Linked DNA regions of Rattus norvegicus. The protein of the gene in region 1 purifies or fractionates together with the protein of each later gene. This does not show direct contact. Links are inferred from orthologs where the notes say so. Each region holds a gene or a part of one and is shown on either strand. Other genes may lie near its edges.

Region 1 (3,653 bases):
CCTTGGTCCTCTTGCTTCTGCTTGAAGTGCTGGGGTCACAGGCTGTGCTAGCACGTTTGACTGTTCATTTATTTTGAAACCTGAGCTTACCGCTGTGCCTCAGCTTCTGGAATGCTAGGAGTACAAGTGTGAGCCGCTGCGCCCAGTTCAACTATTTAAACTTTTTTTCTTAACTAACTGGCAGTGTAAAGCAGATAGAGTCTAATTTGGATTGGTGCGTCCTAAGATTGAGAGCTAGTTAGCAACCAAGCCGGAGACAGACCAATATGGCTAGCCAAGGAATTTGGGGGATCTGAGCCGAGGTCCTCATGCTTGAGCAGTAGGCACTTTCCTGAATGAGCTTTACCTCCAGACTACTTTACATACCCTGAGTGAGCAGGGGCCAGAGAGATGGACGCATACTGCTTCTACAGGGGCCCAGGCTGCGTTTCCATCACTAGATAGAGGGTCTGATACTCCTGGTCTCTGAGCACTGTGCTCAGTTATGTATATACACACACTTAAATGTGATCAAGCTACCCAGGCAGAGCCAGTCACTTACTTTACAAAGTTGAGTTGTTCTGAATGTTTTTACTGGTTTACTAATGAATGAATATTAAGTTAAGCAGCATACATAATAAACTAAGTTGTATGTAATAGTAAATGGAATAGAGCTGGTAGAATACTGCATTAAAGTTTTAAAAAACCAACGTTCCAGATTCAAGACGGAAAAGGCGATGTGACCATTACCAATGATGGTGCCACCATTCTGAAACAAATGCAAGTATTACACCCAGCAGCCAGAATGGTAAGTGTACAGGAGACACGATCTCGGTCAGTAGCCCAGTGACCTGGTACGCACTGTGTACCCTTGGACTTGGCAGCCAGCCAGCTTCATCCTGAGTGCTGGGGATTATATTCGTGGGCATGTGCTGTCAAGTGTACTTGTATGATACTCAATAGAGTTAACTTTGATACTATTTAAACTGGAGAATCCTTTATCTTTATGCTAAAAACGTACATTTCTAAGATACTGTTCTCTGGGTGTGAGGTGTTCTATAAGAGAGCTTGGGGGCTTTTTCATTTTGCTTTTTTGGTTTTTGCTATGGACTGAATCCATGGCATCATGCAAGCTCACCAAGAACTATACACTACTGAGCTACGTTGACAGTTCTTAGAAAACAAGTGTTTTGAGTTAGATGTTACTGGGTTCTCATTTCTTAGCATCTTGGCATGTTCTGTTCACATAGCTGGTGGAACTGTCCAAAGCTCAAGACATAGAAGCAGGGGATGGCACCACGTCGGTCGTCATCATTGCTGGCTCTCTCTTAGACTCCTGTACCAAGCTTCTGCAGAAAGGTAGGTAGAATATAAGATAAAATACTTTTTATTACTGAAGAAAGACAGAAATATTTTTTTAAAGGCAAACATAAAAAGCCAAGCTATTAAGTAATATGGGATTTAATTTGAAGTGACTACTCTTTTGTCAAGGATTTCTATTTGCTTCTTACTTTTGCAAGGCTTCTTTTTGTAGAAATAAATAGAATTCTGCTTTTCAAAAATAAATGATGGCACTGTTACTAATCTCAGGCGTGGAGAGATGCCTTAGGTGAGACGAGCTCTTGCTTTCATACGTAGTGTTCATCACAGCAACTCTCCAGTTCCGCCTTAAAGTAAATAAATGTATTCAGTGTTTTAGAAAGCATTAAATTGGTTTTAGCTTTAATACTGCATGAAAATGTACTTCACCGGTTTCAGATTGAAAAGTTAGCTCTTAACCGTAATAAGCACTCATTTAAGCCGCTCTGCCTACAACTGAATTGTAAATTAGTTTGTGTGGTGAGCATTTGGAGCCTCTGGTATTGCTTAGTATCTGCCTTTTATTGCCGGAGGCCCTGGGATCAGCCTCAGCACCACAACAGAAAAAAGGGAAAGAAAGTATTAGATTACTCTGTCATTTTAATGAGTAAAACACTTTAATGATAAATAAGTAGTTTGTAATTAACCTGGTTCATAAATGGCAGGTATACATCCAACCATCATTTCCGAGTCATTCCAGAAAGCTTTGGAAAAGGGTCTTGAAATCCTTACCGACATGTCTCGGCCTGTGCAACTGAGCGACAGAGAAACCTTGTTAAATAGTGCAACCACTTCATTGAACTCAAAGGTGAGACAACCATTGAGGGAGAATTGAATTACAGATGATGGTGTGTTGTGATGCTGTGAGCATTGATTTGCTAAACTGTATCTAACACTGCCTCAACAAGACTAGTAATCATTTCTGGAATGGACTTGTTTTAAGATTGAGGTAAAATGATCAGTAAGGCTAACAAGAATAAGGAGTTTTAGCTGGACATGGTCGTACACACCTTTGACACTAGCTATCAGCAGGCGCAGCAGGCAGACAGATCTCTGAGTTTGAGGCCAGCTGGTCTACAAATGAGTTGAAGGAAAACCAGGGCTGTACAGAGAAACCCTGTCCTGGGAGGGGGGAAACAAAGCAAAAAGAATTAAGAGATTTTCATAGGTGCAGTATCCATTTGTATTTTTTCATTTACTGCATCTTAACACTTGTTGGTAAAGCAAAAACTGGGCTTTTAAGTTGGGAACTTTTTCACTGCCAAAATCCAAGGCTGTCATAGAATTTCTGTCAATATAGGTTTTTATTTAATATGTGAAAATGTGGAAAGTTTTCTACATCTGCTGTCCTCAGGATTTTATATAGCCATCCCCATAGAATGGGGGGAGTAAACATAGAAACTCAACGGCACACGCATGGCACACGAAGAAGATGAAACTGGTATTTGAGCTCAGTATGGATTGCCCATCCACTAATCAGCTCGTGACACATGTACTGCTGTTCTTATTTGCGAGATTTAAAGTAGTGGGGATACAAATTTCTTGGGAAAATTCAGGTGAAATAATAAAAATGTAAAATTAGGGACTGATGAGATTTCCTAACAGTTAAGAGTACTTGCTATTTCTCCAGAGGATCTGGGTTCAATTCTCAGCATCTGTGTGGCTACTCAGAACAACGTGTAACTTCAGTTCCAAGACTCCCACCGCCCTTTTCAGACTTCCCTAGGTGCCAGGCACAAACATGGTGCACAGACATACAGGCTGGCAGAATATCCGTACAGATGAATTTTTTTAGAAGTTTGTAAACAAAACTATAAAAAGTTTTATGTTGGGGTTGGGGATTTAGCTCAGTGGTAGAGCGCTTGTAAGCACAAGGCCCTGGGTTATGTCCTCAGCTCCAAAAAAAAAGAAAGAAAGAAAGAAAAAGAAAAAAGTTTTATGTTACCATCTGTTCTATTATGATTTCATCCAGTAACAAATCTTTTTTCTTGCATTCCTTTCCTCTGGTAATACATAGTAAGTTCCAGGCAAGCCAGGGCTACATGGTGAGGCTCTGTCTCTAAATAACCTAAATGGTATTAGAAACATGTAGGTTCCATGGTATAATAATGGTTAGTACTCTGGACTCTGAATCCAGCGATCTTTTTTTTTTTTTTTTTTTTTCTTCTTTTTGGTTCTTTTTTTCCGGAGCTGGGGACCGAACCCAGGGCCTTGCGCTTCCTAGGTAAGCGCTCTACCACTGAGCTAAATCCCCAGCCCCGAATCCAGCGATCTTTAAGTAAGAGCACTTTTTTTGGGCTGGAGAGATGGCTCAG
Region 2 (3,653 bases), on another chromosome or scaffold:
GGGAGGTGTCACAGACTTGCAGGACCTCAGCCTCAAGGACCCCCGAGCTAGTCAGCTCCACAGATGCTCAGTCCAGCTGGGGTCTGGATGATGGAGGTGGCTGTCCCCCTCCCAGCCCATCCAGCTTGCTGCAGCTTGTTACTTCTCTCTCAGGCTGAGATCGTGAAGCGCCTCAGTGCAATCTGTGCCCAGATGGTCCCATTCCTCACTCAGGAGGTAAGTGCATAGAGCCTTGGGGGCAGGGAGGGCGTCCCAGGCCTGGGGAGACACCGGCTGGGGTGAGGACCAGGGGACTTTCTGCCCTTCCTATGTTCATGTGTGCACTCATAACTAGGCCAGAAGTCAGCCTCAGTGTGCCTCCCGAGGTGCCATCCACCTTCATTTGCTTTTATTACACTTTTATGCACTTATTTAATTTTATATGTATGGGTGTTTTGTCTGCGTAGCTGTACACCATGTGTGCAGTACCCGCAGAGGCCGGAAGAGTGCACTGTGTCCTCTGGAATTGGAGTTGTGACGGCTTGTGAGCCAGGAATCGAACCCTGTTCCTTTGAGAGAGCAACCAGAGCTCTTAGCCACTGAGCCAACCTATAATTTATTTTTTGGGAGGAGGTACAAGGGCCATAGCACACATATGGAGGTCAGAGGTCAACTTGCAGGAACTGGCCCTCTCCTCTCACTCTGTGGCTTGTTGTTGGCTAGGCCACAATGCTTTCACATGCTCACACACCTTGCTATCCCGTCCTTTAACTAGGCAGGGACTCTGACTGGCCTGGAACTTTGCCAAGTTGGCAATGCTGTCCAGTCAGTGAGTCCCAGGATCTTCCTGTCTCCTCACAGGTGCTAGAATTATAGACACACACTACCATGCCTGGCTTTCTTCAGGGTTTCTGGAGAATCAAACTCAGGTCCCTATGCTTGCATGACAAGTACTTTACTGATTCAGCCATTTCTCTAAGCCTGGCTCTCTGCTCTCGATGGTGCTAGCTAGGGGTGCCCCTGTACCCATGGCTTACATCTTGTAGCCTCCTGCAGCCAGGGCTGCTGGTACAAGGCCTGGCTTTGTGCTCTTGGGCAAGATACATGCCTCTCTGTGCTTATGTCCTGGTTAGGGTATCCTGAGAGTTAGGTGAGCAATTATGGGACTAATCTTACAGGGTGATGCTTGGTGAGTTGGGCCACACACGGGACAATATGCAGGTTTCCTTTCCCAAGGACTCTGAAATTATCAGATCCAGGGCCAGGAAGTGGGGGGTTGGGAAGTTCCAGAGGTGGGTGGTGGGGAAGGCCACACAGCCCTGTGAATGAGTTTCATGTCACTGAGCCTGAGCCGGTCGTGTGCTTGAAATGGCTCTGATTAGCAAGTTTTGTTAGGCATTTTTAGGACAGTGATTTTGAAAACACAGAATCAGCACAGGCAGAGGCTAAACATCAGAAAACTTTGTGTGAGCAATTCCTCACTCCTGCTGACCACAGGACCTTGGTGTTAGCCATTCCCACTTCTATGTGATGTTCCTCCAGAGACACGGCAGGTCCCACCTCAGGGTGGGCATGCTGGGTGCCCCACATGGCCAGAATCCTCAGCTTTCTTCTGTGGGACCTGCTGCCTTTCCCCTGAGAGTGGGTGACAGATCATATCACAGTGAGGCCAGCTACCAACCTGAGTAGAGCCACCAGACATGTGTGTTCAAATTTATTGACTCCATCCATATTTAATGTTGTGCTGGGGATATACACGCTGGGTGGGTCTTCCCCTGACCTGTATGCCCAGCCCCAGGTTGCACATTCTGAGGTGGGTGCTTAGTATGTGGGTACTTGGCATGTAGGTACTTAGTATGTGGGTACTTGGCATGTAGGTGCTCGGTATGTGGGCACTTGGCATGTAGGTGCTTGGTATGTGAGCACTTGGCATGTAGGTGCTTGGTATGTGAGCACTTGGCATGTAGGTGCTTGGTATGTGAGCACTTGGCATGTAGGTGCTTGGAATGCAGGTATTTTATTTTGTATGTGAGTGGTTATTCATTACACTGTCTATGCGGACAGACCGTGGTGTTACATGGACCTCCTAGCAAGTGGTTAGAGGCTGGAACACTGCCCAGCAGCCTTCAGGGTCCAGTAAGCTCCACAAAGCACTGGAACTGTGGCCCCAGGGCCTGGGGAAGAGGCCAGGTCTCTGAACTGTCAGTTAAACAGTCAGAGAGGGGCTGGGGAAGGTGGCCCACAAGCATGAGGACCTGAGTTCAAATCTCCAGCAACCAGAAGAACCAACCAGGTGTGGTGTTTCTCCTCTGTAACTGCAGCAGGGGAGACAGGGACAGGAGATCCTGGGGTTACTGGACAGATTACAGCTGGGCCGGGAGACCCACCGCAAAATAAGGTGGGAGATGGCAGTAGCACCCGCCGTGTCTCCACACGCAGAGGCACACATAGACAGACAGACAAACAGACAGACTGCACGGCCTGCTGCTCAGTGCCTGCCTTCCGCTTCCCCACTAGCATCAGCAGCAGGTGCTCCAGGCTGTGGACCGAGCCAAGCAGGTGACCGTGGGGGAACTGAACAACCTCTTGGGGGTGAGTCACCCCAGCCCATAATTGGAGACACCCTGCTCCCAGCCCAGGCACCCAGTGGGTACAGCATTCACCCTCCGTGTACCCTGTCCCCGCCACCCGCCTCCCCCTGGCAATCCTCTCCCCCTTCAGCAGCAGAATCAGCTCCAGCCGCTGTCCCATGCACCCCCTGTGCCTCTCACCCCACGCCCAGCTGGCCTGGTGGGTGCCGGGGCCACTGGGCTGCTGGCCCTCTCTGGGGCGCTGGCTGCGCAGGCCCAGCTGGTGGCTGCTGTTAAGGAAGACCGTGTGGGTGTGGACACCGAGGGGTCCAGAGGTGAGTTAGCAACTCAGCGCTGGCGGGAGGGGGACAGCTAGTAGGGCTGCAGCTGTGGGGTTCGATTTTCATGCTGTTTGTCCTTGGGAACACACTAGCTGTCTCTGCAGAGGCATCTCCCTGGGATGTGGGAGGTCAGGCTCTGACCAGGAAGGAGCTGTTTCACTCGCCGAAGCCTTGCATGGTTACAAACCCCTAATCATGTTTCCTTCTGGCTTCCTGCGTCTGCAGTGGACAGAGCTGCCAGCAGGGTGAGTGCCAGCCATGAGAACTTGCTTGTCTTTAAGTAGGCTAGGGGACTGGGGGTGCTGCCTGTCCCCAGCCTTCACCACCTGGGCGCTGTGAGGACACCAGTGCCACCACATCCAGTGTACAGGGCCTGGTGAACGAGATGTGAGCTGTTACTTTATGAACAGGGCCTCACTCACAGAGATCCTCCTGCTTCTTGGATTGTGACATTAGAACCGCCAAGCCAGCTGTGGTGTATTTAATTTGAGGCATGGCCTTGTTTTATAGCCCATACTGCATTGAATTTAGGACAATTCTTCTGCCTCAGTGTCTTAAATTCTGCTATAATGGGTGTACGCCAGCAAGACCTGCTTGGCTCCTCATGCAGACAGACGTTTTGCTTAGCTGAGAGCTCCCATCCCCCACTCTCAAGGGGTTGGCCATGGATTTTCCGTGGATTACAGGTCTCTCTGTGATGCATTTTCATAGGACTCAGTTTTCCCATCTGTACAATAGGACTATTCATTACTCTATCTGCCTC

What was found. Proteins that work in one complex are often made in the same cells at the same time.
Region 2: the proteins of Cct4 (region 1) and Tle2 purify together in Homo sapiens (affinity purification with mass spectrometry; 3 studies listed by BioGRID and IntAct, with this or other methods). This does not show direct contact. The link is inferred for Rattus norvegicus from reciprocal best matches to the Homo sapiens genes CCT4 and TLE2.

What each region holds. Positions count from the first base shown.
Region 1 is NC_086032.1:101,196,052-101,199,704, forward strand, and holds part of Cct4 (T-complex protein 1 subunit delta), read left to right. Parts: exon of another isoform or gene 1-697; coding exon 698-787; exon of another isoform or gene 788-1,229; coding exon 1,230-1,338; exon of another isoform or gene 1,339-1,646; intron 1,647-2,003; coding exon 2,004-2,146; intron 2,147-3,653. UniProt on the Homo sapiens protein: Component of the chaperonin-containing T-complex (TRiC), a molecular chaperone complex that assists the folding of actin, tubulin and other proteins upon ATP hydrolysis.
Region 2 is NC_086025.1:8,779,426-8,783,078, reverse strand, and holds part of Tle2 (transducin-like enhancer protein 2), read left to right. Parts: intron 1-153; coding exon 154-216; intron 217-2,496; coding exon 2,497-2,571; intron 2,572-2,700; coding exon 2,701-2,884; intron 2,885-3,115; coding exon 3,116-3,135; intron 3,136-3,653.